Linked DNA regions of Xenopus tropicalis. The protein of the gene in region 1 interacts with the protein of each later gene in a pairwise test. Links are inferred from orthologs where the notes say so. Each region holds a gene or a part of one and is shown on either strand. Other genes may lie near its edges.

Region 1 (10,488 bases):
GATACAGTGCCCCCTATGTGCCATGTATAGGTGTAGCCGGGGTTACAGTGCCCCCTATGTGCCATGTATAGGTGTAGCCGGGGTTATGGTGCCCCCTATGTGCCATCTATGGGTGTAGCTGGGGATACGGTGCCCCCTATTAGCCATCTATAGGTGTAGCCAGGCTTACGGTGCCCCCTATTAGCCATCTATAGGTGTAGCCGGGGTTATGGTGCCCCCTATTAGCCATCTATAGGTGTAGCCGGGGTTATGGTGCCCCCTATTAGCCATCTATAGGTGTAGCCGGGGTTATGGTGCCCCCTATTTGCCATCTATAGGTGTAGCCAGGCTTACGGTGCCCCCTATTAGCCATCTATAGGTGTAGCCGGGGTTATGGTGCCCCCTATTTGCCATCTATAGGTGTAGCCAGGCTTACGGTGTCCCCTATTAGCCATCTATAGGTGTAGCCGGGGTTACGGTGCCCCCTATTTGCCATCTATAGGTGTAGCCGGGGTTATGGTGCCCCCTATTTGCCATCTATAGGTGTAGCCAGGGTTACGGTGCCCCCTATGTGCCATCTATGGGTGTAGCTGGGGATACGGTGCCCCCTATTAGCCATCTATAGGTGTAGCCGGGGTTATGGTGCCCCCTATTTGCCATCTATAGGTGTAGCCAGGGTTATGGTGCCCCCTATTTGCCATCTATAGGTGTAGCCAGGGTTATGGTGCCCCCTATTTGCCATCTATAGGTGTAGCCAGGGTTACGGTGCCCCCTATTTGCCATCTATAGGTGTAGCCAGGGTTACGGTGCCCCCTATGTGCCATCTATGGGTGTAGCTGGGGATACGGTGCCCCCTATTAGCCATCTATAGGTGTAGCCAGGGTTACGGTGCCCCCTATTTGCCATCTATAGGTGTAGCCGGGGTTACGGTGCCCCCTATTTGCCATCTATAGGTGTAGCCAGGGTTACGGTGCCCCCTATTTGCCATCTATGGGTGTAGCCGGGGTTACGGTGCCCCCTATGTGCCATCTATAGGTGTAGCCAGGGTTAAGGTGCCCCCTATTTGCCATCTATAGGTGTAGCCAGGGTTAAGGTGCCCCCTATTTTCCATCTATGGGTGTAGCCGGGGTTACGGTGCCCCCTATGTGCCATCTATAGGTGTAGCTGGGGTTACAGTGCCCCCTATGTGCCATCTATAGGTGTAGCCCTCTGAGCCATTGTGTCGGGTTCTACTGTAGCCTGACAATACCGCTCAGGAGCAACCCCCTCCCTAGGAACATATTCTACCCCCGGGGCATTACTTCCTCCTGACAGCTCCGGATGTTGGGGCTCATTTGAGCAAACGTAGGAGCCTGATGGCCGTGTGTATTGTGTCCCTAGAGCTCCCAGCATGCTCGCTGCCGTACGCCTGTGACTCCTCCCTCACCGTCTCTCTCTCTCTCCCCAGGTGTGCCGGTGCTGTTTGTCGTCCCCTGGGCCATAGTCAAGTACCTGTATGAAGACAATGGGTTTGTTCCTGTTTGGTCTTTTCCTATGAGCAGATACAGCATGTTCCCTTATGTGTCTGAAAGGGTTAATACCTTCATTCACCCCCCTCTTTAGGTGCCCCCTGTAGTTACCCGGATGTAGAAAAGTGTTGGTGTTTTGGTTTTTATGTCCCAGCAGTAATAACTCTCTAATAAGCTGGTCAGCCTTGTGCCTTTATATGGGGGGCACAGAACCCCTCAGTGACTGCTAATATCCTTATCATTTACAGTAGGGGGTACATTATCCCTTATAATACATGAGTGATACTCAGAGTTCCCTGTATAACTCAGCCTGCAGCCTTGTGCCTTTATATGGGGGGCACAGAACCCCTCAGTGACTGCTAATATCCTTATCATTTACAGTAGGGGGTACATTATCCCTTATAATACATGAGTGATACTCAGAGTTCCCTGTATAACTCAGCCTGCAGCCTTGTGCCTTTATATGGGGGGCACAGAACCCCTCAGTGACTGCTAATATCCTTATCATTTACAGTAGGGGGTACATTATCCCTTATAATACATGAGTGATACTCAGAGTTCCCTGTATAACTCAGCCTGCAGCCTTGGTGCCTTTATATGGGGGGCACAGAACCCCTCAGTGACTGCTAATATCCTTATCATTTACAGTAGGGGGTACAGTATCCCTTATAATACATGAGTGATACTCAGAGTTCCCTGTATAACTCAGCCTGCAGCCTTGTGCCTTTATATGGGGGCACAGAACCCCTCAGTGACTGCTAATATCCTTATCATTTACAGTAGGGGGTACATTATCCCTTATAATACATGAGTGATACTCAGAGTTCCCTGTATAACTCAGCCTGCAGCCTTGTGCCTTTATATGGGGGGCACAGAACCCCTCAGTGACTGCTAATATCCTTATCATTTACAGTAGGGGGTACATTATCCCTTATAATACATGAGTGATACTCAGAGTTCCCTGTATAACTCAGCCTGCAGCCTTGTGCCTTTATATGGGGGGCACAGAACCCCTCAGTGACTGCTAATATCCTTATCATTTACAGTAGGGGGTACAGTATCCCTTATAATACATGAGTGATACTCAGAGTTCCCTGTATAACTCAGCCTGCAGCCTTGTGCCTTTATATGGGGGGCACAGAACCCCTCAGTGACTGCTAATATCCTTATCATTTACAGTAGGGGGTACATTATCCCTTATAATACATGAGTGATACTCAGAGTTCCCTGTATAAAGGGGTGTGGCTTACTAAGGATTAGGGTGTGGCCTAATGTGGCTGCTATATGCTGAGCCCCCCGTGGCCCTGGATTCTGAGAGGCTATTGGTTCTGCTCAGTATTTGCACCCTGTGGGACCCGAGGGGGGGAATTTATATAAATACAATTTGCATGATGTTATTGGCCCCTCCCCCCGCGTACATAAACACAATAAGGGCCTCATTAACGCTACGGCGAGATCTGTGAGTGCGCATAATTATCCCCTGACATCTCGGCGCCTCAATGCTCATTATCGTTAGGAGAGAACAAGTTCCCATTCGCTAAAGCGTGAGGCCGCCGCCCCAATACTCGGTTATTATGCGCCTAATTGGTCAACTAATCACTTAATTAGCCATTAGCGTGCGTTTGTGGTGCTCGTTTGCATAATGAAGTGTATGAATATTGACACAGGTAATTATGGGCTAATGTACTCATTCTGAGAGATTGCGTGTAATTAAAGGCAAAGTTAACCCTGCGCAGGGACGGCTCGGGGGCATCGTATAACGAGCGGCGGAGACTGACAGCTTCCTGCGCGGGATGCACGGATTAAATACGGTTTAATAAGAATGCGCTTAATAAATGATGATAATAAATTGTATCACCGGGTTCGTTAGGCGCCACGGCAACCATCCCTCGGGCTCAGAACCGCCCGCCCCCCCCCCCTGCACTCACTCACTAACTTATACTTTATTACTTCTGTTTAGGCCCTCCTCCATTCATATTCCTGTCTCTCTTTCAAACCATTGCCTGGTTGTTAGGTTAAACTGGACCCTAGCAACCAGATAGCTGCTGAAATTCCAAACTGGAGAACAAAAAGCTCAATAATTCAAAAACGGCAAATGAAGACCAATTTCAAATTGTCTCAGAACAGCATTCACTCCGTTATACTAAAGGTTCATTTAAAGGGGAACTACCCCTTTAATATAGCCCCCCCCCTTTTGTGGAAACAGAATTCTGTGCCCCCAGTGCACGGGACCCAGGGGTAGAATCTCATTTCCTTTGTTTTATTGGGAACCCATAATAATGCCAGTAGCACCCACTGCTCTGCCGCTGGCACCCTGCCACCTCCGCTTGCCCCTCCCCTTCCCAATGTTCTTACTGTGCAGCGACTGGGGGTGCTGGGGGATGCGGCTGCGCTTGTCAGATAACGAGGCGCAGGGATGGGATATTATTTGTGCTGTAATTAAGTCGCCCAGGCGCTGGCCCATTACTCACATTACTGGAACAGAACCGGCACTGACCCAATGCAGCAGCGGCAACCGGTACAGAGACGTAATAACATAACTGCCCGGCCAATGGGATCAGGGCACAGGGATTTGCACTGATCTACTCCCTGCACTGCCCTATGGGGCAAATACACAGAGACAGGGAGTGAGAGTAATGCCCCGGGCTGTACAGAGACAGGCGGGGAGTGAGAGTAATGCCCCGGGCTGTACAGAGACAGGCGGGGAGTGAGAGTAATGCCCCGGGCTGTACAGAGACAGACAGACAAGGAGTGAGAGTAATGCCCCGGGCTGTACAGAGACAGACAGACAGGGAGTGAGAGTAATGCCCCGGGCTGTACAGAGACAGACGGGGAGTGAGAGTAATGCCCCGGGCTGTACAGAGACAGACAGACAGGGAGTGAGAGTAATGCCCCGGGCTGTACAGAGACAGACGGGGAGTGAGAGTAATGCCCCGGGCTGTACAGAGACAGACGGGGAGTGAGAGTAATGCCCCGGGCTGTACAGAGACAGACGGGGAGTGAGAGTAATGCCCCGGGCTGTACAGAGACAGACGGGGAGTGAGAGTAATGCCCCGGGCTGTACAGAGACAGACGGGGAGTGAGAGTAATGCCCCGGGCTGTACAGAGACAGACGGGGAGTGAGAGTAATGCCCCGGGCTGTACAGAGACAGACGGGGAGTGAGAGTAATGCCCCGGGCTGTACAGAGACAGACGGGGAGTGAGAGTAATGCCCCGGGCTGTACAGAGACAGACGGGGAGTGAGAGTAATGCCCGGGCTGTACAGAGACAGACGGGGAGTGAGAGTAATGCCCGGGCTGTACAGAGACAGACGGGGAGTGAGAGTAATGCCCCGGGCTGTACAGAGACAGACGGGGAGTGAGAGTAATGCCCCGGGCTGTACAGAGACAGACGGGGAGTGAGAGTAATGCACAGAGACAGACAGTCAGGGAGTGAGGAATATATTGTGCCTTTATTCCCCCCCCCCCTATGACTTGGTGTGACCCAGAATGACCCATTCCCTCTCCCCCTAGCTGCTGGACACGGAATTACAATATGAATTTCTGGCTGATCATCCGGCTCCCAATCCTTATGGCCATCGGGGTAAGTTTGCTGCTTCCCAATCAATTACCCCCCTCCATCTCATCCCTCTCCCCAAGCCTGGGGGCTGCACGGCGACACCTGCTTATATGGGGCATGGAGGGGTGGGTATAGTAACTCGCACAGTGAGCTTGCACTCTATCAGCAGGTATCACTATCACTGGGCCCAGAGCCACGTTAGTCAGTCCCCAAGGTGCCAACCCCTGAGAGCTGCCCAGCAATCCTATTGGCTAATGCAAAGGAACAGTTCCCCTTTAATAGAGCTGAGAGACCCCGAGGGGGGAATATAAACTCGTTTTTTTTTCCTTTCAGGTGAATTTCGTGATCTTCATCCGAGTGATTTGCATCATCATCTCCAAGCTGCAGGCCAACCTCATGTGCAGAACCGACACCAAGTGCAGGTCAGAACCTGGCGCCTTATTGGCTGCTGCACCTTCTCTTCTACAGGCAGGAAGTGTATCTGTTATATGGGTGGGGGCTGCCATTTTGGTTTCCTTCTATCCTAGCCAGGGATTTAGGCTAGTCATGTGACCTTGCCCCTCCCAGTGCTTTAAAGTTTGGTGCCAGAACCGTCCCACGTTTACTGGTACTGGGGCAGTTGTAGAAATGACACTTTGGTTTCTCTGCCCCAATTGCCCCTATAAAGCTTGGGAGAAGCTCTCACTATTGGCGCCTGTCTCTGCCAATCTGATCACTTGTCTCATTTTTGTTGCCCTGTCCTGCTGGGTACTGACCCAACCCAGACACTGAGACTGGGTACTGAGCCCTCCATGGTGTTTGGGTCATTTTGCCTAACAAACAGCACTTTCTTTTGCTGCCCCTCCCTGGTGATGTCATGGACTGCCAGAAAGCGAGGCTGAACAGTTGCTAGACAGACAGTCCAAGTGTGATATGGAGATGTCTATGGCAGGAGAATGCAGTAAAGTGAGACCTAAGTGCTGCGCCCACAGACAAGCCATAGGGATTAAGCTAATGTTAAATGAAGGGTAGAAGTGAAGGCAGGTAAAGTGATTTATTGGGGTGAAGGAAAAGTCGGGGACCTTGTTGGTGCCTGGGGGGCCCTTGATATAAATTTCCTACTAATTTAACCCATTGGTCCCTATGGGACTATCAGTGCCCCAGTTCTACGGGGAAGAACCACTGGTCACATGGGGGTGTATAAATAATGTGGGGGGCACCATGCAACCCCCAGGGGCTCCCCAATCACATTGGGGTTACACAGGCCTTCTAAATTCTGATATTACAACATCCAAGTGTCTCCTGCCCCTCAGGCTGCTGTTAAAATCCAAGAGTGCATTATTGGGGCGCCCAATTAAGCGCAAATGGGGGGGGGGGGCAAGAAAAAGTGAATTGAGTGCAATGATTTTGGTTACACAAACAGTTGCACCTGTATCCCCCCCATCAGAGAGGGTGCTGGGAGTTCCCTGGGGGGAACAGGTGGAAATGGTGACAGGGACACACGCTAATTATTATTTAAGAACAACAGAGGGCGCTGTGTGCAGGGGAGTATCATGAACAGAACCGGTTCCGCTCACACACGGAGCCATAGAGAGCGCTTATTGGCTAGTAGCGCCGCTGCTGCCCTCCCACACACCTTCCCGCCTTTCCCATGAGCGCGCCCCCCGCCGCTTTCTACCTCAGAACTTGCAATAAAGCGAATCCGTTCCCGGCCCCCCAATATAAACCCTCAGTGGGACCAACGGGCAATGAAGTGTTTCATTTCTAAATTCACCTATATATGATCTTTAATTACGTTACAGACTGACCAATTCCAAACAGCTTTGCAGTTGGTCTTCATTTTTTTATAGTTTTAAAATGATTTGCCTTCCTCTGCCCAAACCCTATTGCTCTGTGAGGCTCCAGTTTTATTGTTACTGTTTATTCCTTATATTTCTATTCAGCCCCTCCCCTATTCATATTCCAGTCTCTCATTCAAACTACTGCCTGGTTGCTAAGGTAAATTGAACCCTGGCAACCAGATAGCTGCGAAAATTGGAGAGTTTTTGAACAAAAACTAAATTAAAAAAAAGCAAATAAAAAGAGAAGACCAATTGCAAATTACTCTCTACATCGTACTAAAACTACTGCCTGGTTTCCAAGGTAATTTGAACCCTGGCAACCAGATTGCTGCGGAAATTGGAGAGTTTCTGAACAAAAACTAAATAAAAAAAAAGCAAATAAAAAGAGAAGACCAATTGCAAATTACTCTCTACATCGTACTAAAACGACTGACTGGTTTCCAAGGTAATTTGAACCCTGGCAACCAGATAGCTGCAGAAATTGGAGAGTTTCTGAACTAAAAAAACTAAATTAGTAAAAAAAAACCACAAATAAAAAGAGAAGACCAATTGCAAATTACTCTCTACATCGTACTAAAACTACTGCCTGGTTTCCAAGGTAATTTGAACCCTGGCAACCAGATTGCTGCGGAAATTGGAGAGTTTATGAACTAAAACTAAATTAATAAAAAGAAAACCACAAATAAAACGAGAAGACCAATTGCAAATTACTCTCTACATCGTACTAAGAGTTAACTGAAAGGTGAACTACAACTTTAACCCTGTGTGAGTGGCACCTTACATAGCGGGGGCCACTGGGCCCTCAGGTTACTGAATCACACCTCGCGGATCCCCAGTTGATTTGATTCCAATTTGCTCTAATTCGCCCCGGATCCTGGCGCCGGAGGATAAAATGCAGTTTAGAGGGTTTAGAATCAATGCGAGGGTTAACTTTCCCTTTATCTGTAAAGATCTAAATATCCAAAAAGTCACCTGTATCCAAACTGCAATTTAGTGTCAACAAAATCCAAGAGTTCTACTTGCCCTTTATTGCAGATAATTAGCGCATCGTCCCCGTCACGGAAACGGTTTCTGAGCAGATAAAACATTGGGAGAATGATTAGCGGGAAGGGGGGGAGTCGGGAACCAATCCCGGGAGGGGGAGAAGCAACTCAAATGGAGGAAAATTTGATTTTTAAAGATTTAGAAAAAAATAACAGAGAACATTCTTAGAAATAAGTGAAAAAAAGGACAAAGGCGCTAAATGAGCGGATCGGTAATAATAACGATATCACAACGCCGCCAGCGGGTAAGGGGAGGGGCACGGTGGCCATGACGACAGATAAATACACAGAGGGACAAATAACCCAATTAGTGTTTTTCAGAAAAAAATATTAAATTCAGGCTGAGGCGCTGACAGACACAGACAGACAGACAGACACACACAGACAGACAGACACACACAGACAGACACACACAGACAGACACACACAGACAGACAGACAGACACAGACAGACACACACAGACAGACACACACAGACAGACACAGACACACAGACAGACACACAGACAGACAGACACAGACAGACAGACACAGACAGACAGACAGACACACACAGACAGACAGACACAGACAGACAGACACACACAGACAGACACAGACAGACAGACAGACACAGACAGACAGACAGACAGACACAGACAGACACACACAGACAGACACACACAGACAGACAGACAGACACAGACAGACACACACAGACAGACACAGACACACAGACAGACACACAGACAGACAGACACAGACAGACAGACACAGACAGACAGACACACACAGACAGACAGACACAGACAGACAGACACAGACAGACAGACACAGACAGACAGACACACACACAGACAGACACACACAGACAGACACACACAGACAGACACAGACACACACACACAGACAGACACACACAGACAGACACACACAGACACACACACACAGACAGACACAGACAGACAGACACAGACAGACAGACACAGACAGACAGACAGACACAGACAGACACACACACACAGACAGACACACAGACAGAGACAGACACACACAGACAGACAGACACACACAGACAGACAGACACACACACACAGACAGACAGACACACACAGACAGACAGACAGACACAGACAGACAGACACAGACAGACAGACAGACACACACAGACAGACACACACAGACAGACAGACACAGACAGACAGACAGACACAGACAGACAGACACACACACACAGACAGACACAGACAGACACACACAGACAGACACAGACAGACAGACACAGACAGACAGACACAGACAGACAGACACAGACAGACAGACACACACACACAGACAGACACACACAGACAGACAGACACAGACAGACAGACACACACAGACAGACACACAGACAGAGACAGACACACACAGACAGACAGACACAGACAGACAGACACAGACAGACAGACAGACACAGACAGACAGACACACACAGACAGACACAGACAGACAGACACAGACAGACACACAGAGACACACAGACAGACAGACACACAGAGACACACAGACAGACAGACACAGACAGACACACAGAGACACACAGACAGACAGACACACACAGACAGACACACACAGACAGACACACAGAGACACACAGACAGACACACAGACACAGACAGACAGAGGGTTTGGAGGGAAGCGCAGAAATCTGAGGGAATGAATCTCAGGGATGTGATTGGCCGGAGGCGGATGGATATCTGTATCCCCAGATCTGACACAAAAGAAACAATTGGATTGGATCCCGGGCCGAGTGTAATTACAGATAAGCTTCTCCCGCAGATAAACACCGTATTTATTAACCTTCCCCCGTTCCATCCCTGCCCCGCAGCCGCCGCTCCATCAGCACTAAGTGACCGGCGTAATGGCCCCCGGGGGGAGCGGCGCTCTGGGTGCAATTAATGCGCCATTTGTATTCCAGCAGCCGCCACTCACTCAGCAATGAATCCTGGGAGCCGGCAGTTACTGCCCAATTAGCTTCTTAGTGAGACTCTGGGGCGCGGGGAGTCGGAACAGCAACGTCAGCTAAACTATCCCTGCACTTATATGGGAATATACAGCTTTATACTGCTACTGTCTGCCCCACACAGCTTCCCCATTCTTCTACTGGGATTCCCTGTACTAAGCACAATTCAGCAGGAACAGCCCCCTAAGTTTGCTCATAGCCTGTACAGAGAGATACCATAAAACTATGGCACATAGGGATTCCCCTGTACTAAGCACAATTCAGCAGGAACAGCCCCCTAAGTTTGCTCATAGCCTGTACAGAGAGATACCATAAAACTATGGCACATAGGGATTCCCCTGTACTAAGCACAATTCAGCAGGAACAGCCCCCTAAGTTTGCTCATAGCCTGTACAGAGAGATACCATAAAACTATGGCACATAGGGATTCCCCTGTACTAAGCACAATTCAGCAGGAACAGCCCCTAAGCTTGCTGGGAGTTTCTAGAACTTGCTGATAGTCTTGTTCTTCTCTCCATGACTGTAGGTTGGCCAAGTCCACCCTGACCCTGATCCCCCTGTTGGGAACCCACGAGATCATCTTCGCATTTATCACA
Region 2 (11,216 bases), on another chromosome or scaffold:
TGTTGATTATTCTGGCTGTTGAGAGATATTAAATATATATATGTTAAAATATCTAAACATGCAGTTTTATATTTTAAAAATATCCAATTTTTACCAATCTACAGAAAAGCTAAATTTATTGGGGGAAGGGTTGGAGTGCCAATGTTTTAGGCACTTTTTTCCCCAGAAAAAAATGCACTGTGGTGTCAAGTGTAAGTTGATGCTAAAGACGACTGGAAAAAAGACAACTATCTGCATAATTCTCCTTTTAAAGATCAGGTAAGGGGGGGGGGGGGATAGGGGGGTTATTTTCCTTTAAAGGAACAAAGTGGTACTCTAAGCTACAGGCAAAATATATTTTATCCTGGGGATGAGAACATCTTTGCTTTAACCAAATCACTGCAAAGTGTGGATTTTAAAATGTTTTATTCTAAACAGATCTGATGTTTAATCAGATAAGAAACTGACCAACCATTCTCCCTTTACTTATAAAAAGGACTTTAGTCATAGCTGAAACCATTATATTAATGTTCTGCAGCACTTCCTTAATTTAGCTTAGCCTCAGGCATAAAGAAGCAGACCGACCATGTGAGATACTAGGGGGAAATTTGGACGCATGCGCCACAAGCACATTGCTTATACACATGCACTGTTGTAGTAAAACTGACTTGGTTACTATACAATTATCCACATTGATGTTCTGGGGGAACCTGGAAGGGTGATTCACTTCCCTGTATTGATTTTTCAGTAATGACTACTCACATTTTTTTTTTCTGTAAAATTGAAACTTAAAAAATACAATATCCAGCTCTTACATACACGTGTCTAGTGTTTTCTCTTCTATGCTTCCGTGCGCAGCAGGAGTAGGCCAGAATCTTGACCATATCAGTGAAGGCACTGCCATCGGCTGGTTTGGTAACAAACACCGTTTTTCCACATAAAAAAACTAAAAAGGAAACACCGATACACACTGTTGGAATGATGTATCCAGTGAGGAAATCTACATTCTGCTGGACATATGCAATTCCGCCAAGAGATATAATGGCACCCAGGTTAATACTCCAGTAGAACCAGTTGAAAAATCTCCGTGTTGCTTCTGGTCCTCGGTCTTTCACCTATAGAAAAGATAACCCATCACATAAACAAACAATCAAAAAATAATCAAGGTTAAAAAAAGGGGGCTCTCCTTAAAGGAACACCAAAAAACAAGTGATAAAAATATAATGTACTGCTGACCTGCACTGCTGAAACTGCTTGCTTCAGAAACACTAATATAGTTTATAAAAATAAGCTGCTGAGTAGCCTTGGGGGTAGCTATTTAAGTTGGAAAAAGGGAGAAAAGTCACAGGTTACATAGGAGATAACAGATAAGCTCTGTAGAATACAATGATGTTTTACAGCACTTATTTGTTATCTGCTATGTAACCTATGCCATTTAGCCCTATTTCAATATATATGGCTGCCCCCATGGTTACACAGCAGCTTTGTTTAAATAAACTGTAGTAGTGTTTCTAAAGCTTTTACCAGTTCATTATATTTTAATTACTTTAATACACTTTCGTTTTTTGGTGTTACAGTTGCTTAAAACCACTGATGGACAGCGCAACCCAACAAGTTCTGCTCCAGCTGACCCCACAAAGCAAGATACGGAAGAATTTCTATAACATGCAATGCTATTATTTACTTAGGATACTTCATTTAAAAACTCCCCCCTACTTGCTCTATTTAGTCTTCTTTGTCGCCCCAGAATTTGCCATATTTCCCTATTGTGTCATCTGTTATTTGTGATGGGATGAAATAATGATATTGTGTGTTATTTTCCTCTGTAAAATGGAAATTCTGACTCAATGAAACATATTGTAATATACTAAACAAAATCATTACTGACCTAAAATAAAAATTAAGAAAAGAGACAACTAAAAATAGCATTCACAGTGAATAGCTACCCTTTCATAACTAACAGACACCAAATTAGTACAGCATCTCATGACTGAAATCCCTTAGTCACTATCATGTGCTATGGTAATACAGCAGTGTGGCTTTATCCCATACATATATCCAGGGTTCAAAAAAGTTCAGAGGGGGAACCATACATAACATGTTTCTTTCTTTTTTCCACATAAGATAAGTACAGGTAAAAAGATCCAAACAATGTCCCCTGTGGCTGTGTAATCTGCTCCAGCAGGGATGGAGATGCTGTGTGAGCAGCCTGCCTAAACATTACCCCCAGCCCATTCACTAAATGGCTTTGTGCCACAAACTGTACCACAAAGCATTCACTAAATATGTGAATGAAGGTAAGCCCAGTGAGCAGGGCCTGGTGCCATCCAGCAGCAAGGAACACTTTGGGCCTTATGTAGGACTATAGGTAGAGACTGTCCCACTCTACAGTAACTCCCCAAGACCACTGATCCAATTCCACTCAACATTTAAACTGCACTATACTGTTCCAAGAGAATAGTGGGTAGCAGGCCTGGACTGGAATTTAAAATAAGCCCTGGCATTTCAAGTACACAGAGGCCCAAACAACCCCACACCAGCCCATTACATAGCGACTGTTTATGGCATTTTACATAAGCCCTTCTGACATTTGCCACAATCCACAGATCACCAGTCTAGGCCTTCCTTGTGTTTATTGACTAGGGGGATTGCCGATGTTACTGCATAGATCAGTTTATGAAGGTCGGGTGTCAGTATTTTATTGGCCTAGAAAGGAGGCATGATATTGTATTTTTGGCTAATCTCTAAAACAGCGGTTCTCAACCTGTGGGTCGAATGACCCTTTCACAGGAGTCGCCTAAGACCATCGGAAAACACATATTTCTGATGGTGTTAGGAATAATTTTATGGTTGGGGGTAACCACAACATGAGGAACTGTATTAAAGGGTCGCATTAAGAAGGTTGAGAACCACTGCTCTAAAACACAATGCTTTATAAAAATAAAGTGCCATCCCAGCACTGCTACATTATTTGCTATCCCTTTAGGTTGTTAGGTATAATGTTTTTCTGGCCTTGAACTGCCCCCATTATTGCAATGTGGACAAATGAAATACCATTGTAGAACTGTTTATAGATCTATTAACTTTGAGGGTAGAGGTCACTTACAGCCTACTTCACTAAAGGAGTTTTTCCTTAGTTTTCACATAGACCTAAGTACTGGCTGTAAAGGAAACAACAGTCTATGAGAAAGCGGAATACGTCGGTTGTTGGCATGGAATAGTGCCTCTTGTCACAGGCAGCAGCTTAGTGCCACTTAAGGCAGAGAGCTCACCCCATCCCTTAAAATTACCTTTAGAGTTTAATAAGTATTGCTGTGGCACATTATATGCCAGGTGCCCAGTCTGGAGTGCCGGCCAGTATTGCACATGTGCATCACCTTTCTCTCCTGGCCATGAAGGAAGACATGGAGAAAGTGCCAATGCAGAATAATGTGGTGGAAGAGGTCAGAGTTGGTTGAGTGGTGTGGCCAGCTTTCTATACTTATAGGCTCATACTTTTGGCACTTGGTAAAGCAGCTCTATGCCATGAAAGGCACTGTAAGAATACCAACTTTATTTGCTCTTTAGGGCTCTGGCACACAGGGAGATTAGTCGCCCGTGACAAAACTCCCTGTTCGCGGGCGACTAAGACTCATCGCGAGTCTTTTTCGTCGATTTCGGGAAATCGCGCCGCCGCGTGTGCCATCCCGCCGGCGACTTACAAGCAGGGGAAGGCAACTCGGGGAGATTAGTCGCCCGCGAACAGGGAGTTTTGTCACGGGCGACTAATCTCCCCGTGTGCCAGAGCCCTTAGGGTGAAGACACACAGGGCTACTGGTAGCAGCTACTTTTTCACGGCTACTAAACTCCAGAAAATACCCTGCCATAGACAATTCTGAAAATTGCCTCTGCTAAAACACATGTAGAGACAGTTATCAGTTAATGATCAGCATTGTCTATTTTAGTAGCAACGACTAGTAACTGCTACTAGTAGCTCTGTGTGTCTTCACCCTAATACAGGCTGGGCTGGCAACCTGTGGATTCTGGCAAATGCCTTAGGGGCTGCTATTAGTTGCCATAGACAGTAACTTTTTTTTGGACTGGAGGGGGCTTTTTGGGCATCTGTGTACTTGAATTACTGGTGCCAGGCCTGCCGTTAAACTGTTTGAAGCAATGACTTAAGTGCTACCATCTAAAATGGCATGTACCAGCAGGCACTTTTACAAATAACCACTGTACCCTTAAGATACTTTTTATCTCCACCATTAGAATGAGATGTTAAACTAGGTCCTTTGCCTGTTAGTGCGAAACTACAGCTCTCTAAAGCTTTGTGCATGCTGGGAAATGTAGTGCAACATTAAATATAAAAAAAACAAGAACAGACAAGGCCAGAAAAGAACGTGCAAGATGGTTAATAATAAAGACTATACCTGATCAGCTCCAAACGGTGTGATATTGGCCTTCACCGAGCCCACTCCCAGCCCCACAATGATGAGCCCTAGGAAGACCGCCGGGGCGCAGTATCTCCGGCTCGGATCCAGGCAGGTATCGGGGCTGCTAGAGGTGTTGCTCCTGCTACAGTTATCTATACGAGCCCACGGAATGTCCCCACAGAAAGCAGTGCGGGTCCCCGAATAGGAGATCATAGGGAAAAGCAGCATGCCCAGCAGGTACAGCACCATGCTGCCGAGAATGATGAAGAAGCGCCCTAACAGGGCATCTGCCAGCCAGCCAGCAAAGGGCGACACCAGGTAAGTGATCCCCATAAACAGTAAGAGAGCCTGGCTGGCCTGGGTCCCTTCCCACCCGAAGATCTGCCCATTGAGGAAAAGGACGAGGTTGGAAGTGATGCCGTAGAAGGCCACCCGCTCCAAGAGCTCCGAAAGCAGCACGGCGGCGCAGGCCAGGCCCCGACCGGCGAACACGGAGCCAGGAGGGACAGGGGGCTCAGAGCGGCCGCCCAGGAGCGGGCTCCTCTCGCTGGGATCACGGCTTGCCATCTCTGCACACAGGGGCTGAGGACAGGAGAACGCTCACCACGCCCGGGGTAACATGCAGACTCAGATTAGGAGCTCTCCGGAACGGGACTCACTGGCAGAAGGACAGACCCGGTTAGGCAATGGGCAGAATACGGAAGCGATCCCGCTGATCCAAAGCTGTACGTACCTAGCCGGCCAATACTTCTTCCACTAACTCGTGACTCCTTCGGGAGCCCGCCTACTTCAGCCGGTACCGAGAGGTGATTGGTTGTCACTAAGTACAACAACTGTAACTCTGCCACCTATTGGATACACTAGCTAGCCTTCACACAGTGTCCACAACATTACAAAATAAATAGGTATACTGGGGTCAGCTGTAGTACTTGTGTGAATTGCAATTCATCCCATCCTCCCTCGCTTCGCACATTGCTGTTCTGATTACTTTAATTGTTGCAGGTCCCTGTCCCTGCTCTTTTTAGCACAGAGACCTTCAGCCGCCCCTGTGAATACAACCCTGCCTGCATTTGGGAGTGCTGTATCCACTGTCAGACTGGGATGCCAAGGGCCCACCAGAAAACCTTGGACCATGGGCCCACTCCCAAACTATTTTTCATCCACTTCTTAATAGTCTCTATATTGTCCTAGTTTTTTTTGCATCTTTGCATACTATAATCTATTCTTCTATATATTTAGTTGGTTTGGTCCCAAAAATAAGTGATGACCATGAATTAGGCCAAATGGCTAGAAGCAGGAGGGCCCACTGACACCTGGGCTCACCTGGAGTTTTCCTGGTATCTCTGTGGGCCAGTCCGACACTGGCTGTATCCATGAGAGGTGGGGAAGCATGTAAGCCCCACCACCAGGCAGAGAAGCATGACCCCCACCTAGCACCTAAATTGCGTGTCATTTAGACAGAAAGTTAAGTAGTGTTGGCACATGAAGGTGGGGTCCTGCACTTACTCCCTACCAATTCATAATATTGACATAGAACATTATTTTTCCTGCCCATATCAATAAAATACCAGCTAGGTGTTTCGGGCACTGCAAGTCCCATGTGGGGCTAGCGGAGCTGTAAATTAGCCCAATGTCATGAGGGAGATAATGATCAACCCCAGACCTTTTTGAGAGCTTAATTTATGTTATTTAGTGTAAAGAGGAAATCAGGCCTAAAAAACAAACAGGACTGGATCAATATCTCCCTCATGACATGGGGCTGGTTGACAGCTCTGGGCTAGGCCCAGGTGCAGCTACAACCCCTACCCCACCCCGTATCCAGGAGTTATACAAGTTGGAGAGCAGAGTGGTGCATCTAATTTTTTCACTATTCACAGTGACCACTTTTGATGACTCGCAAAAGATTTTGTAGGTTTTTTAAGTTGTTCTTCTTATAAACTAATAATGTGTGTTTTTATTCAGATTTCCTGCTTTGGGGTTGATTTTTCTTATAGTGGCTTCTTTATATTGCTAGGCAGCCCCATTAGTTCTGAATAAAAGGTGATTCTCGGATACCTTAAGTGTTCATCATACCTCCCAACTGTCCTGATTTTCGCGGGACAGTACCTCTTTTGACAGCTCAACCCGAAGTCCCGGATTCTTACTGAAAAGTCCCTGATTTCCCTTTGATCTCCTGCACTAAAGCTAAAAAAGATACAAATTTAATTAAAAGTACCTTTTTGGCAGAGAGCCCAGAAATCTTTACTAGCGTCACCTGCACTGAGATACAATTGTAACTAATAAGCTGAACAGGTCTCTTGAGACTTGCGGCTTAAAGGGCAATTTCACCTTTTCAGCAAAACTGTAATAACACATAAAACAGGACCCCAAAACCCCCAGAAATGTGTTCAAACTTTAAATAACCTGACAAATGTAGTCAAATGGGAGTGGTATTTAGGGGGGTGTGGTCACAAAAACGGGCGTGGCCAAAAATTTGGGTGCGCCATTTGTTTTTGTCCCTGTTTCTGTGTTCAAAATGTTGGGAGGTATGGTTCATACTCATACTGCCATATTTTTGTTACATCTAAGCACAGTGCATGACTTCATATATTCATGAATGATAGGATGTGTGTCAGATACTGGTACTTTGCTACAACCTGGCCATTATACATGTGATTTTTTTCATGTTTGTTTTGTGAATATGACACTTTGCATAGTTCCCACTTTGAAATTACATTTTAATGTCTATAGGCTCATAGCATTAATTTACCTAGTACAGAATTACTGGCAGCATCATATAGCCCAGTGACCTGCTGCTGAAAATGGCACAATGTCACACCATTACCACTCCAAACTACATGTGATTGTTCTAAATGACTCGGCCCGAACACACAAGCGCTTTGTCCTACATTCCCCTGCAGTGGAGTTCTCCTGTTCCATTGCAGGGGAGCACAAGGCCAAACGCAATCCATTATTTTTTACGGGGCACAAGGTGAAATTCCCGTATGGACGAGCCCTTAAATAGCATCTGCCTGTTACTGCTCACATGAGCAGCCAAACTGCAGGTTTGATTGGGTGTAGCAAGTCAAAGTGGTGGTAGCAGTGCTGATAGCCAGGACAGATCGTTGTATTTAAATTTACAACCGATATGTGAACATTCATCGGAAGAAAACTAAAATCTGAAAGTGTATGGCTATCTTAACAAGACCTATTCACCTGTTAATCTCTCTTTTGGGGTGCCCCAAGGGTCAGTCGTAGGGGCAGATTTATCAAAACACGAGTTCAAATCCCGAATGGGAAAAATTCGGATTGGAAACGAAAATTTCTGAAGATCGCAAATATTACGAAAATGCTTACGAAAAAATCGTATTAGTCAGGATAATATCGTATTGTGGTGAATTAGCAAGGTGAATGCAATTCACGCGCCGCATAAGCAAACTACTAACACCGGCACATGTTATACCAGCTAACAATTAAGCAAAAGCGGAATAGCGTTCAGGGTCACACCGAGCAGTTCTCTGATGCCGAAGTAGTAAATGCGAACGTTACTTCTATATGCACTATGCTGAGCATTTGAGATAAATTAAGTCCCAATGTGATCACATCGAGCGGTTCTCTGATGTCGAAGTAGTAAATGCGAACGTTACTTCTATATGTATTATGTTGAGCATTTTATACAAATTAAGTTCCAATGTGATTACTGATCGTGTGTAACCAATGTGAACATTGACAAGCCGTAAGCAATTACAATTTGTATCCTCTGCCCGCTCTGCAGTAAGGACAGAGACAAAATCATTGATTAATGGCTATTAATAGTGCTAGTATAACTAGCGATTTTGACTTTTGAAGGAAAGTGCGGAAGCTGTAATGATTGGATAAGCTTACCCTTTCTCTGATAGGTAAAATAGATTACCGAAGTTATTATTAATTTATGGCTAAATGTATGCCATAAAGGATAGCATAATTAGTGATTGTTATCCCGCTGAGCCAAACAACAGGCCCTAATTAACAATTGTTCTGCCTCGAGCAAAGAAAAAAAGGGGACTTGCAAATATTATGTTATAAATAATTCTGTGCCAATTTGATATTGGACATTAACCACAAGGGTTTTATACGTTTCTGGACTATATTAAGACCAGATATACATGATCCTGGAAATCGAATACTGGTGAACTGTGGGTCAACCTTAGCAATATTCGGTGAAGCACTAGGAATCAGTAGAGTGAATTAACAGTTAGGAGATTAAATCTGTGCATGAGCACCATAACGATACTTACCCGTGTTTAAAGTGTAATATCCACTTGTTTCTCTGTAGAAAACAAATATCGATGAAATAAAGACATGATACACGAATGGTGAATAAAAGTTTATTATACGGATGGTGTAATTATTTTCAAATCTCCCATGTAAGAGTTTTTAGTACTTACCTGGATGAATGAATTACGATTTCTCTTGCAAGTCACACTGTGCAGACCATTTATATTGTTGATACAAATGAAACTAATCACAACAGAAAAAGATACTTTATAAGTAACAATATCCAGGAGGGTAAGAGCTAGAATTGAAACAGTTTCAAGGTGTGATTTCGAACATTTTAAACTTTTCTTCACTTTCCTATCCATTTTAAGTATTTAATTAAAATTAAAAGTAAAAGTTATATTTTAATAATAAGAGGTGTGCCAGTCTTGTCCTTTTCGTGCCTATAACACGTTATATTAGACGTGCAGACTTTGCCAGTTTAAGGGCATCTCTGCAATGTGTCAACTGGGAAAGGCTTTTCATGGGGTTAGACACAGAAGGAAAATGGAACATCTTTAAAACATTGCTTTGCAGGTATACACAACAGTATATTCCCCTTGTAAGCAAGGAGAGGCATCGCAAAGCAAAACCCTTACGGCTGAATAAAAGAGTTAGGGTCGAGGTTGGTAATAAAAAACGTGCTTTTAAAGCATTCAAGTTAGCTGGGACAGCGGAAACTTTCATCAGGTACAAGGAAGCAAATAAAGCATGCAAAAAAGCTATCAGGCAAGCTAAAATAGAGATGGAAAGGGATATTGCAGCTAGGAGTAAAAAGAATCCAAAATTATTTTTTAATTATGTGAATAGTAAAAAAATGAAGCAAGAAGGGGTGGGAACTTTATTATCACGGGGAGGTAAGTTGGTTGATGAGAACGGAGAAAAAGCTGAAATCTTGAACTCTTATTTTTCATCTGTCTATACATCTGAGGAGCCAGATAATGAAGGCTTCCCTTTTAATATACCCAGTGCTAGTAATTTAGCTACTGGCGCATGGGTCACTCAGGAGGAAATTCAAAAGAGACTTGAACATGTAAAGGTAAACAAAGGTCCAGGACCGGATGGGATTCATCCCAGGGTATTAAATGAGCTGAGCGCTGTGATTGCCAAGCCTCTTCACATAATTTTTCAGGATTCATTGAGGTTTGGCATGGTGCCGAGAGACTGGCGGATTGCTAATGTGGTGCCGTTATTTAAAAAGGGATCTCGTTCTCAGCCTGAAAACTATAGGCCTGTTAGTCTGACATCAGTAGTAGGAAAGCTTCTGGAAGGGGTAATAAGGGATAGGATAGTTGAATACATTGCAGTTCACAATACTATTAGTTTGTGCCAGCATGGTTTTATGCGTAACAGATCTTGCCAGACTAATTTAGTTGCCTTTTATGAGGAGGTGAGCAGGAACCTTGATGCTGGAATGGCAGTTGATGTCATCTACTTAGATTTTGCTAAAGCGTTTGATACAGTACCGCACAGAAGGTTAATGATCAAATTGAGGAATATTGGCCTAGAACATAATATTTGTAATTGGATAGAAAACTGGCTGAAGGATAGAGTACAAAGAGTGGTGGTAAATGGAACATTTTCTAATTGGGCCAGTGTGGTTAGTGGAGTACCGCAGGGGTCAGTCCTTGGTCCTTTGCTTTTTAACTTGTTTATTAATGACCTGGAGGTGGGCATAGAGAGTACTGTTTCTATTTTTGCTGATGACACTAAATTGTGCAAAACTATAAGTTCCATGCAGGATGCTGCCGCTTTGCAGAGCGATTTGACAAAATTGGAAAACTGGGCAGCAAACTGGAAAATGAGGTTCAATGTTGACAAGTGCAAAGTTATGCACTTTGGTAGGAATAATATAAACGCAAACTATCTACTGAATGGTAGTGTGTTGGGGGCATCCTTAATGGAGAAGGATCTAGGGGTTTTTGTAGATCACAAGTTGTCTAATTCCAGGCAGTGTCATTCTGTGGCTACTACAGCAAATAAAGTGCTGTCTTGTATAAAAAAGGGCATTGACTCAAGGGATGAGAACATATTTTTGCCGCTTTATAGGTCCCTGGTAAGGCCTCACCTTGAGTATGCAGTGCAGTTTTGGGCTCCAGTCCTTAAGAAGGATATTAATGAGCTGGAGAGAGTGCAGAGACGTGCAACTAAACTGGTAAAGGGGATGGAAGATTTAAGCTATGAGGTTAGACTGTCGAGGTTGGGGTTGTTTTCTCTGGAAAAGAGGCGCTTGCGAGGGGACATGATTACTCTGTACAAGTACATTAGAGGGGATTATAGGCAGTTGGGGGATGTTCTTTTTTCCCATAAAAACAATCAGCGCACCAGAGGTCACCCCTATAGATTAGAGGAACAGAGCTTCCATTTTAAGCAGCGTAGGTGGTTTTTCACGGTGAGGGCAGTGAGGCTGTGGAAAGCCCTTCCTAGTGATGTGGTAATGGCAGACTCTGTTAATGCCTTTAAGAGGGGCCTGGATGAGTTTTTGAACAAGCAGAATATCCAAGGCTATTGTGATACTAATATCTACAGTTAGTATTACTGGTTGTATAT
Region 3 (11,244 bases), on another chromosome or scaffold:
AAAAATGGAATAGGAACTAACTTTTTGTTATAACCTCTGCAAGTAGTCTTGTTTTTATTTGAATTGCTTTTTTTTTTGTTCTGTAGCTCTCTGTGGCTGATTTTGGTTGCTAAGCCTACTGACCCAAGCAACTAGACATCTGCTTGACTATCACAATGAAGTATGAATCACAGAGCATCTGAAATAAAGATCAGCATTACATACTAATAACAGTAATAAAAATCTCAGTTGGGAAGTCTGTTTTTTCCAGTTGTTAGAGTTAAATCATAGCAACCAGATGGCTCCACTCTGAATTTCACATCTCTTTCATTCTCCTTTTATTTTACAGGTGCCCTTTCCTTTTAATGCCAAGAGAGATGCAGAGAAACGAGAATAACCTATATTGTGATCCTTCACTAAATATTTATACAGAAGTATAGTGAATGTAGCCTCTCAAACACTGCATATTTGCCCTTTAACACTGCGTACAGGCATTTATCTCTTAGCACGCTGACACTCATCCTTCTGTCAAGGAAGTCAGAGAAGGAAAGGGAAATCACTTCCCATACATTACATGTCTAATTTAAAACAGAAGGCCACACCTTCAATTTGGGCCTTAGGATCCCTCTGCTTTGGCCCCCCGCCCATTGCTAAGGGTTTCAGACTTGAAACAAGAGAACAGCCCTGTGTAGGAGTTTTTATATGTTCCCCCATCCCTGTTTGCATGGCTTTCCTCTAGGTACACCAGTTCACACTCTATAATAAAATACTATAATAGAAAGAAGCATAATGGCAGTGCCACAGGCGCCCAAGGCAAGGATGCCTGCTTGTCCAACACCCAACCCTGGCTGCCACCAACCTCCCACCTATAGCTTGTGTCACCAAACCCTCCTTACTCTCCCCTCCATGCAGGAGTAGGCAGCAGAGGTATGTGCCTAGGGTCCCATCATCCTAGCATCCTGTTGTGCCATAGCCACATGGCTCTGCTGCCAACCCATAGCTCTTGCCTTGCTTAATAGTTGGTTTAGGGGGGTTATGGCCAGTGATTAGGATGTTGTGGCTAGCCTGTTTGAGAGGACTGCAGCTTAGACAATCCTAAAACTGCTAGCTGAGCCAAAATATCTATAAGTTGGGGGAAAGAGCAAAACAAGCATATTAATTAAAGCAAGTAAATATACAGTACTTTGTGAAATTTCTTGAAAAAGGCAACTTGAGCATTAATCAAGCAAGAATGAAATAGGAGTGTAAGGAAATGAGTTGTTTGTTGTAATATTTTCATGTGCAGCAAATGAATACATTTAGATTTAAGTTTCAAAAGGAAAGTGGATGCTGAATGCTGCATCTGTGAGCATAAGAAGATCAAAATGTCCTGTGGGCATATTCAGTGAATCTTTAAGGGGCACTGCCCAAGTTGGTGGCTGATACTGCACTCCAGTTGCTCTTTCTGTAGGGTTGCCATCTGGCCGGTGTTTGACTGGCCTAGCCGGTAAACCCAAAAGGCCACTATTATGCACATCTTCCTATCTTCCGGTCGACAGTAGTAATAGCCAAGTACCCTGTTTTCCATCATTTTGGATTACAAAATGTATTTGTAATCCCTTTAACTGAAAAAGCCTGTTAAGGAGCCTGGATTTTTTGCAGCCAATTTATAGAAGATATAGGGATTGCGTAGTGGAAAGCAATTGGGGCCTAACAAGGCATGGCCAAAAAATTCCTTTTTCCAACAGATTGATGTTACTGTAGTAAAGCACTGTCTGCTGCTCTAATCTAAGCTTCTGCCTGGCTCATTGTTGTTAATAGTCCAATAGAGATGAAGCAAGGAGCTTTGACACCCAAGGCAGAACTGGACCCAAACCATTGCTCCCACCTTGGTTAGTGGCAGGTGCAGACCAGCTGACATGGGAGCAGCGAAGAGAGTCTGATGCCCCACAGAGAGAGTTAGTCGCCTGCGTAATATCTCGGCTATTGCGGTTGACTAGCCATTCTGAAATGCCTTTCCAGGGGCCTTTGCATTGCTTCAGTTTTCAGAAGTTGCGCGAAGTTACCTACAGGAGGAAACTTTGTGCAACATTGGAAAACCAAAGTGATGTGGGGGCTAACCACTCCAAACTGCCTTTCCACCAGCAACAATATGGGTCACTGGTGACAAGGCTATTCAGAGCAGTTAGTTGCCCATGATAGCAGATATCTCGGGCAACTAACACCCTTCGTGGGACATCAGTCTAAAAGTTGATTAAATAATGAGCTGCTAAGATAGCAGATGACTCTACTGCCTATCCCTTGTTTAGGTCTGGTTTTGGCTGGGGATAGGCCATGCTTTGCTAATGTGGCACTTGCTGTTAGGCTGTTGATATAGGCTGTTCGGCCTTGGGGGCAAATGATCGCATCAGCACCATTCGGCTAACACCTGCGTGGCCAAATCAAGCAAAGTTTTTTTTAGTTTGGTGACTGTGTCCAAACAGATCTTTGAATGTATAGCAAGTTTATGTTTTCCTCCCTTTTATCTCATCTAACAGGGCTATTAGGCTGGCCATATGCCAACAATTCACTCTTTTGCCAAGGACGTTGTGGCAGCTTGCCTGGTTGGTTGAAGACCTTTACTGGCATATCTTTGGATTTTAACCAATATGGACAGGTCCTTTTTGCATAACAAACAGAACTCAAAGTGGCCTGTGTAATTTGTTTGCTTGCATGTGAGCAAATCAGAATGGGAGACCCAACTATTTGCCCTTTCAGCCTCAAGTTTCTATAGTGTTCGGGTGCTTCTTCGCCCCCCTGAAATACACTTTCCACAGCCTTAGGCACCGCAGCCTCAGGGAAAATGGTTTGGTCCGGTCAGCTTTAGCCTGAAATCTATGAAAGTTGGGTTAAGGTGGCCATACACAGGAAGATTTGAGTCCTTCAGACCAATTTTGAATCAGCTTATCTGGCAGTGTATGGGCCCTAGGGCCAAACGATCGAATTAGCCATTATATGCTAGTTCTCAATACCCCAGCAATCCCTCTCATAAGATATCCCTCTGTATCAGTGCTCACATCCTTTCTTGATGAAATGCAAGCATTTCAGATATTTCCTCTGGTGCCTATTTTTAAGTGCGCCCAGGTCAGAGCTTTATTTCCCCCTCCTCTCTGCGCGCAGACACAAACTCACTCATTAGTTTCAGTTCTTCATTATAAAAGAAACGGATACAGACGCATTTACACCAAGGCTGACTTAATGAAACCTTGTGGCCCCGAGCCAACAAGCCAAACGAACAAATTAAATAAAAGCAGGGGTGGAAAAATTGAATTAGGCATTTAACAAATTCAGCTGCCCAACATGTTTTGCCTCAGCGTTATCCCACGCTGCACTGCTTCTCCCAGTATGCTCCCACAGCCGATGTTAGGCCGCAAGTTAAGGATATAGTTGTGGTGCTTTATACCATTGTCAATAATGGTGCTGCCAAACTATCCAACTATCTGCCATTGCAGCTAAATATATCCTATTGTAATCCTTTTCTAAATGATGGATCTTGCAAGACAAACAAATTGTGCCAAAACAATAAAAACAAGACTTTAAAAAAAAAAAAAAAAAAAAAAAGTTATTCCTGCTGCCCCATAAGGCATTCATATTCAAGTAAAAAAGAATTCTTACTTCATATCCCAAGCCAGTGATCATCTTTGGTGAAAAAACTAACCTGGAGTATCTTCTATGGGCATGCCACACTGCCAACCTGACTCCCGGGCACTCTCTTCACTGTAGCCTGAAACCTACTAGATGGCGGGGTGTTCAGGTGTACAAATTGCACCTAGATGAGGCCAAAGGAAGGTGGTGGGCCTGGACCTCTCCTGGCCCAGCCCCACCAGCAATGCCCTAGCCATCCCAGCCCTTTCTGGTGGCTGTTGGGTTTGCATCACCATTTCTGCCCCCCAGGCCCAGACTGGCAAATCCCAGAGGGGCTGCAGTAAGAGGCCATAGACAGTCACTATTTATTGGGCTTGTGGGGGCTGTTTGGGCCTCTGTGTACTTTAAATGCCAGGGCCTATTTTGAATCCCAGTCTGGACTTGTGTATAGGCCAGTGAATGAGCTAATAGGGGTGGAGTTGTAATATTATAGGGTAGAGTTGTGATGTGATATGGAGGAGCATAAATGGACAAAGTGGGTCAAATTTAATGAGTAGGAAGGGATTGAGAGCATAGAAGGGGAGGGCAAAGGGGTTATTGGGACAGGCCAGGGGCAGAACAACTATGGAAAACAAATGTATTGGATCTTGACTGCCTGCCCCCTTCCCTTGCAGCACAGGTGCCAGTTGCAGAACTAAATGGGTATATACCCCCTCAGGTCTACTGTTGGGTTTAAACGCTAGTTTCTGAAAGGGCACTGGGGGGATTTTTGTAGAGCATTTTTTTATATATATACATTGGCCCAGATACCAGTGAACTTGACTTTTCCTATCCTATCCTATGTAGACCTACACATGCATCTGATAAAATAACGTTGATGAACCACTATGAGCCCTTAAGAAACACATAACAAGTCGCCCTTAAAGAGGAAATTTTCTTAATAAAGGTAGGCAGAAATTCCAGCACAAGTACACTGTACGCCGCCCCTCAATTTAAAGGGAAATGCTGCAGTGTGCCTAAAGGAAATGGCAGGAGTTTACAGCTAGGGAAATATGTGCCTGGCCCATCTGGCAGGAAATGTACCAGAGACAAGAGACTTAAAATAAAAATCAGCCAAGCGATTTATGCTGATGTATTCCACACGTCTCCCCCAGCTCCGACACACACCCCGCACCCCTCACACTTTTATTTTAGCCTCACATACCCACTTCCCTAACAAGCATGCTACTGTTACCCCCACCCTGCCCTTTATAGTTTCCCTTCCAATTTCCCAACTGTACTTTCCATCTGTTTGGGGTTTAACCCTTTAGCAAAAGACAGAGGTCCTTTTTTTCCCCTAATTTAAACATTGCAAAAGGGAAAGCCCCTCTCTCCCGCTCCTGAACATGGGATTGTGTAAATATTAATCACACAGGCCTCTCGCTGTCAGAGGATGCTGGGAGCTGTAGTAGTGTGGCTCAAGGGCCGTGGGTAGATTGAGGGGGTTCATCAACATAAATCAATAATCGAAGACAATATATAAATAATCTAAATTCTTAATTCTCATTTTTTAAATATTTACATTTATAGTTATGTAATTCTAAAGGTGGCCATACACGCACCGATAATATCGTACGAAACCTCGTTTCGTACGATATTCGGTGCGTGTATGGTATGTCGGCGAGTCAACCGATATCGCAGGAAGCTGCTGATATTGGCCGACTCGCCGATCGGACCAGTTTGAAAATTTTGATCGGGCGCCATAGAAGGCGCCTGACCAAAATCTCCCTTCAGCGCTGAATTGGCAGAAGGAGGTAGAAATCCTATTGTTTCTACCTCCTTACCTGTCGATTCAGCCCTGAATGGTGTGCGGCGGATCTGACGATGTTTCGTGCGACCACGTGTATGGCCAGCCAAGTTCCAGCTGCTTACTGGTTGCTAAGGATTAATTGCCTTAGCAACCAAGAAGCCATCAGAAAGGAAGAGGGGAAGGTCCATAGGAACAGACCAAAATAAAAAGTGAGGTAATTACAAATACACATACAACTAATCCCTCACACTTTTTTTGTTGTTGCTGGTCTCAGACGACCAGATAGCATGTTTTGTAACAGCACAAACGTCCTTATCACCTTCCTTATTCTATATAGAGATATTTAGATGGAACTTTATCAGTTTCAACTATTTAACATGAGTTTTCTGTGGAGAAATAACAAGGAATGCTGGGAAATGGCGTTGAAAACACAGTGAGTAGTAGTGCAAGGGACACAAGCGCCTCAGGAGGATACCCCAACCCTGATAGCCATTGGCTTGTGAGGAAGCCCCCCTTCCTTAAAAGGAGGGGGGGGGGGGCAGGGGAGGGGAGTGGGCGTGGCACAGACACTGTATGGGGAGGCGGCTTGGCTGTGTCTGCACCTTGTCTCTCCGCTCTCGCATCTCTGATCCGCTTTACAGCTAATAAGGGACAGGGGAACGCTCAGCGCAGCCGCCATGGGGGTAGAAGGATGCACCAAATGCATTAAATATCTGCTCTTTGTCTTCAACTTCATCTTCTGGGTGAGTGTGCCTTATCCATTGGGTATTTGTAAGGGTACAAACGAGGGGGGCACAGGGTTCCACTGACCCCCCCCCCCCCATCGCCATTCCTACAGATCCTGAGATAGCGCTTAGGGGGGTGAGGGTTGGCTGGAACCTGGGAATCGTAGTGTTTGTGAGTTGGGAGGGGGGTGATGGGGCGGAATTATATCAGGGTGGGGAATGGATGAACCCTGTAGCACAGTGCGTTCCAGCCAGGGAAAGGGTCGCTCGGTGCCAGCCCTGCTGTTTCCCATGGATTTCAGTGTGGCTGTAATGGGAGGGGGGGGATCATTCTGTGCCCCCTCCTCTGTCCTACTCAGTAACCAACAACAGCCCCTCTGCAGGGTCTCCAACACCACGTGGTGCAGAGGGGGAATAGTGGGGGCTGCTGAGCCCAACTGGGCAGTTTAGCCCCTCCTTACCCATAGCCCCTCATGTATCACAATAACATTGCCCTATATATATATATATATATATACACCCCTGGCACAGATAGGCATCCCCAGCCACTGGCCCCCAGCATTAACAGGCGGCAACTCTCTCCTTGTGCTTTAAATTGCACTCTAGGCGGGATGCTGGGAGTTGTATTACAGAACAGCTGCCGATTGGACAGCACTGATGTTATGTACTGGGATTAAAGACTGTGGGAAAATTGCGGGGATTGCTATTGAGCAACAGGCAGGGCGCAACTGGTTGGGAGTAGCTGCCCATTGCCTTTCCCTTATTTCTTTAAAATCTTAGGCTTTATTATAATGCTATGCTGATACAGTGGGTGCATGCTAAGCAAAACTGAGGGTGATTATCATCATGCTTATTGCATGTATGTTACACACACAGTATTCACAGACAGGGCAAAGGATTACAGTGCTGTACAATAGAGCGGCGTATATATCAAACCATAACGATTATATACAAATACTGACTGTTATAGGAAGTACAGAGGGCCCTGCTCAGTAGAGTTTCCAGTCTATAAGGTGCAGGATGTATAATTGTACAACAGTTGTGACAATGGAAATGATAATACTGCGGAAACAATTTCAGTGGGCGTGTTTACACTATACTTGTGACGTACAGCGTTGTGTTTGTGCCTGTGTTGCCCCCAAAATGCATCCATCTGTTCAAAGAATTATGTATTTATGTATATAATCACATCCACAAGCCAGTTTCTCTTTATAGTGACTTTATAGTGTTTGCTTATTGGCTGCTTTGTTATATAAAGGTATGGAAAGGTTATTTTTATTTACAGCAAAAAATCCAGCCCCCAGAACTGTATGCGTTGGAAGATACAATAGAGTGCTTTAAGTGTAGAATTTCTAGTGTCAGGAGGGATTAAAATTGATGATTCCAACATGTTTGCCATCTTTAGAATAATCTGGCCATTAGAATGGGGCCCATTGGTGTATTGGAGTCAGAGGATAAGGCATTAGGGTGAAGACAGACGGGGCAATTGGTCACCGCGATTTTTAAAATTCAATCGCAGCAACTAATTGCCACCACTAATTGCCGCAACAACACGGAGGTTGGATGACTAATTAGGATTACACTGTAATGACATCATTTGGTTAAGATGTGCTTATAAAGCATTTTTCATTGGGTTATACATTCCTTACATTGTTTATTGGCCATATGTGTTTATGTGTACATGAGTGGGCGGGTTGACTATCTGCTACCACATTGCTATGCTAGGATGTAAGGCTCCCTTCCATGCATCTGTTTTGAATTAATAGTTCATAACAGCATGAAGAATGGCAGTGTGTAGAAAATGGCACCTGGGTGTAAGTTGTCCTATAATGTCCAATCAGGAGTGGGGCCCCTAAGCTCATCTCTTAGTAGAGCAACATGAGGGAAGCTTATTAATCTCCTTAATAATAGGGAGAGATGGTGCCTATAGTAACAGTGAGATAATAGCCTCTGGGAAGGGACTTTGGCTGTGGAATAGCAGGTATAGTAGGGAGAGATGGTGCCTATAGTAGCAGTGGGGGGATAATAGGCTCTGGGAAGGGACTGGGGCTGTGGGATAGCAGGTATAGTAGGGAGAGAATTTTATTAAAATATATTTAACAAATACAATAAAACAATAATTACATTTCAATCAAGCAAAAAACAAAAACCAAAAAAACATAAATCAATATTACATCAAAAACAAAACGTACTTTCCTGCAAAGCATCTTATTTCTTACAGATCATTATAAAACACATATCAAGAGGCATCTTTATGTTTCTTTTTTTGAGAATTGTCCAAACATTTCCCAGCAGACCGTTTAACCTGTACCCGCACACCTGCCCCCTGACTCTCCATCACACTTTCCTCCTCCAACTCCCCTTCCTCCAGTGACTCCTTTTCTGCCCCCTGAGACTGAAAAGCCCCTTCCCTTTTGCTCTTCTTCCTGCTGGAGATGATATCAGATGAGAGACTTTTCCTTTTCTCCCTCTCCTCCTCCTCCTCCATTCTCTCCAACTCTACCTGTTCCTCTGCTAAATCCCCCCATGACTTCCCTCCTGGCAAAACAAACCTATTTTCAGTTGGGAGGGTAATTACACCTGGGCACTGAGCCTCCTTAGCTTTATTTGATTTGCTGCCCACCACTATCCAACCATCCCCTCCGCCTCCCTCCTCTTGGGCTGCCTGTACCGCTGCCTGTGCCTTTGCCTGTTTGTTCTCCCCCTCTTTCCCTCTCACCTCTGTTGGGCGCCCCCTGTCTGTCTCTCTTGCCCCACCTGCCCTCTCCTCCCCCCTTCCCTCAGTCTGGGGCAAGTTCTCCCCTGGCATTGGGGTACTCATTACTTTTTCCAGATTGGGACAAGCCTTCCTAATGTTGCGCCAGGCGTCGGGGCAGGCCCTATAAGCATGGCCGGATTGCATACACAGGTTACACTTTATTGCTTTGACACACTCCTTGCTTGGGTGCCCAGTCTCCCCACACAAAGCACATTTCTGTATGTTGCACTTTACAGCATAATGTCTGTTGGACCCACATTTATAGCATAGCCTGGGCTGGCCCACATAGAAACAGACACCCCTTGCTTTCCCAATGAAAAAGGAATTTGGGAGATGTTTCTGAACATTCTGATCCACATGCAATTTCACTTGGACTTTATACCCCCCTACCCAGAATCCCTCCTCATCAAACACCGGCTCTAGGGGGGATAGGACAGTGCACTGGCGCCGGAGCCATATGAGGATGTCCTGCTCATGCACTGTCTCTCTCTTCATGATAATGGTGACCAGTTTGGTTTCGGGTTTGGACACAGGGATTACCCTAAACCCCTCCCATTCCTTGGCCTCTTTACTCAGATGGTACCGCCTCCAGAACTCCTCTAACCCTTGGGATAGCTTATAGCTTAAATCAAACTCTGTGTCTGTGACACTCAGCAAGGCATAAACGTCCTGTGGGGTAAAACCCAGCAACTGTTTAATAATGTTTCTGCCCACAAACCTGCGCCCCGGGAAATCCTCCCTCTCTTTCTCCCACTTAATTTTCACAACATTTTTCCTCTTATCAAACTCATCATCAAACTCCTCATCCTGCTCACGTGCAAAGAATCTCCTTCCCTCCCAAAACACTGCCCCCCGCAGCCCCAGCAACACTCTCAGTCCCCCCATGCACATTGCTTTCCCAGCAGAATAAACGACATTTTTTCCTTCCCCTCCCCCCTCACTCACACACATTGCATTACCTGCAATCACCTGCACCTCAGCTGCACCACTCCCAGCCACTTGCACCTCAGCTGCCCCAGCACTCACTGCCCCTCCCCCCTCACTCACACACATTGCATTACCTGCAATCACCTGCACCTCAGCTGCCACCACTCTCAGCTGCTTGCCCCACACTGCCCCCAGCACTCACCCCACTAACGGCAGCTGCACACACACTATCAGTATGGGAAAGACCGTTACTATGCACAATGTTAGTAGCAACGCTACATTCAGTAAAAGTTTTTGAAACTTCAGTCTCTTTGAGCAGTTCAGCAACTTTAGCAGTCTCTCAGCAGTCACATTGCCCCTCTTTCATCTGCTCAAATCTCTGTTTGTTGTCATACAGTTCCTTCCATGGCTCTATAACAGCCAAAATGTCTTTAATGTTAATTTCAGTCTCTTCCAGCTCCTTATTGTGGAAAGCCAACTCCCTGATGTACTGAGTTCTCCTCTCTCCTCTCAGCAACTTCTGATTTTTTATCAGTCTGTCAATGTCTCTGTTTAAATTGTTTTGCTTCTCCTCCAAACACCGCAGCTCCTTCAAAGCATTAATTATTGTATCATACTGTATTACAGTCTCAGTACCTTTGTGCACTTCCCCAGCCTTCCCCAGGGGCCCGGCAGCCATTACCTGCTCACTCTCCAGGGCCACACGGCTTCCATGCACCTCACAAGCAGCAGCCATTTCCTGGTCACTCCGAGCGCTTTCTGCAACTTTTAGGGCCACACAGCTTCCATGTTCCTCACAGGCAGCAGCCATTTCCTGGTTGGTCAGAGCACTTTCTGCAACTTCCAGGGCCACATGGCTTCCAAGCTCCTCACTGCCAGCAGCCATTTTGCAGTCATCAGACTCTCCTCTCACCTCCTGGTCTGCCTCTGTTGTAGCTCCGCAGCTCCCTGCAGTTACTCCAACACCGGCGCCCAGGTCCTCAGAGTCACTCTCCATGCCGCTTTGGGAACAGGTTTTGCTTTTCTTTTCCTTCCCTTTAAGAGAGCAGGAAACATTGCCCTCTGCAGTGCGCTCCACTGTCACCACAATGTTGGACCCAGTGGCCTTCTTGCTGCTTCTCAAACGGGTTTTCACTACCCGGCTAAACGGTTTAATCGCTTTCTTCCCCATTGAGTAGGGAAAAACAGCAAAAAACAAAGAAAAAATACCCACAAAAACTAACCCCCAGACCCAGCCGGGCCTGGGAGAAAGTCACAACTCCACAGAGCACTCAGAGCACCTCCACTCAGTAGCAACAGCAATGAGCAAATGGCCTCTGGGAAGGGGGTGTGGCTGTGGGATAGCAGGTATAGTAGGGAGAGATGGTGCCTATAGTAGCAGTGGGATAATAGCCTCTGGGAAGGGACTGTGGCTGTGGGATAGCAGGTATAGTAGGGAGAGATGGTGCCTATTGTAGCAGTGG

The links. The genes of interacting proteins can lie anywhere in the genome.
Region 2: the proteins of glp1r (region 1) and slc15a4 interact in a protein complementation assay, tested with the Homo sapiens proteins (2 studies listed by BioGRID). The link is inferred for Xenopus tropicalis from reciprocal best matches to the Homo sapiens genes GLP1R and SLC15A4.
Region 3: the proteins of glp1r (region 1) and cd81 interact in a protein complementation assay, tested with the Homo sapiens proteins (2 studies listed by BioGRID). The link is inferred for Xenopus tropicalis from reciprocal best matches to the Homo sapiens genes GLP1R and CD81.

What each region holds. Positions count from the first base shown.
Region 1 is NC_030681.2:3,033,749-3,044,236, reverse strand, and holds part of glp1r (glucagon-like peptide 1 receptor), read left to right. Parts: intron 1-1,426; coding exon 1,427-1,487; intron 1,488-4,999; coding exon 5,000-5,069; intron 5,070-5,378; coding exon 5,379-5,467; intron 5,468-10,418; coding exon 10,419-10,488.
Region 2 is NC_030677.2:158,917,942-158,929,157, reverse strand, and holds the start of slc15a4 (solute carrier family 15 member 4), read right to left. Parts: upstream 5,263-11,216; 5' UTR 4,959-5,262; coding exon 4,389-4,958; intron 1,095-4,388; coding exon 799-1,094; intron 16-798; coding exon 1-15. UniProt on the Homo sapiens protein: Proton-coupled amino-acid transporter that mediates the transmembrane transport of L-histidine and some di- and tripeptides from inside the lysosome to the cytosol, and plays a key role in innate immune response.
Region 3 is NC_030680.2:22,302,739-22,313,982, forward strand, and holds the start of cd81 (CD81 antigen), read left to right. Parts: upstream 1-5,982; 5' UTR 5,983-6,048; coding exon 6,049-6,114; intron 6,115-11,244. UniProt on the Homo sapiens protein: Structural component of specialized membrane microdomains known as tetraspanin-enriched microdomains (TERMs), which act as platforms for receptor clustering and signaling.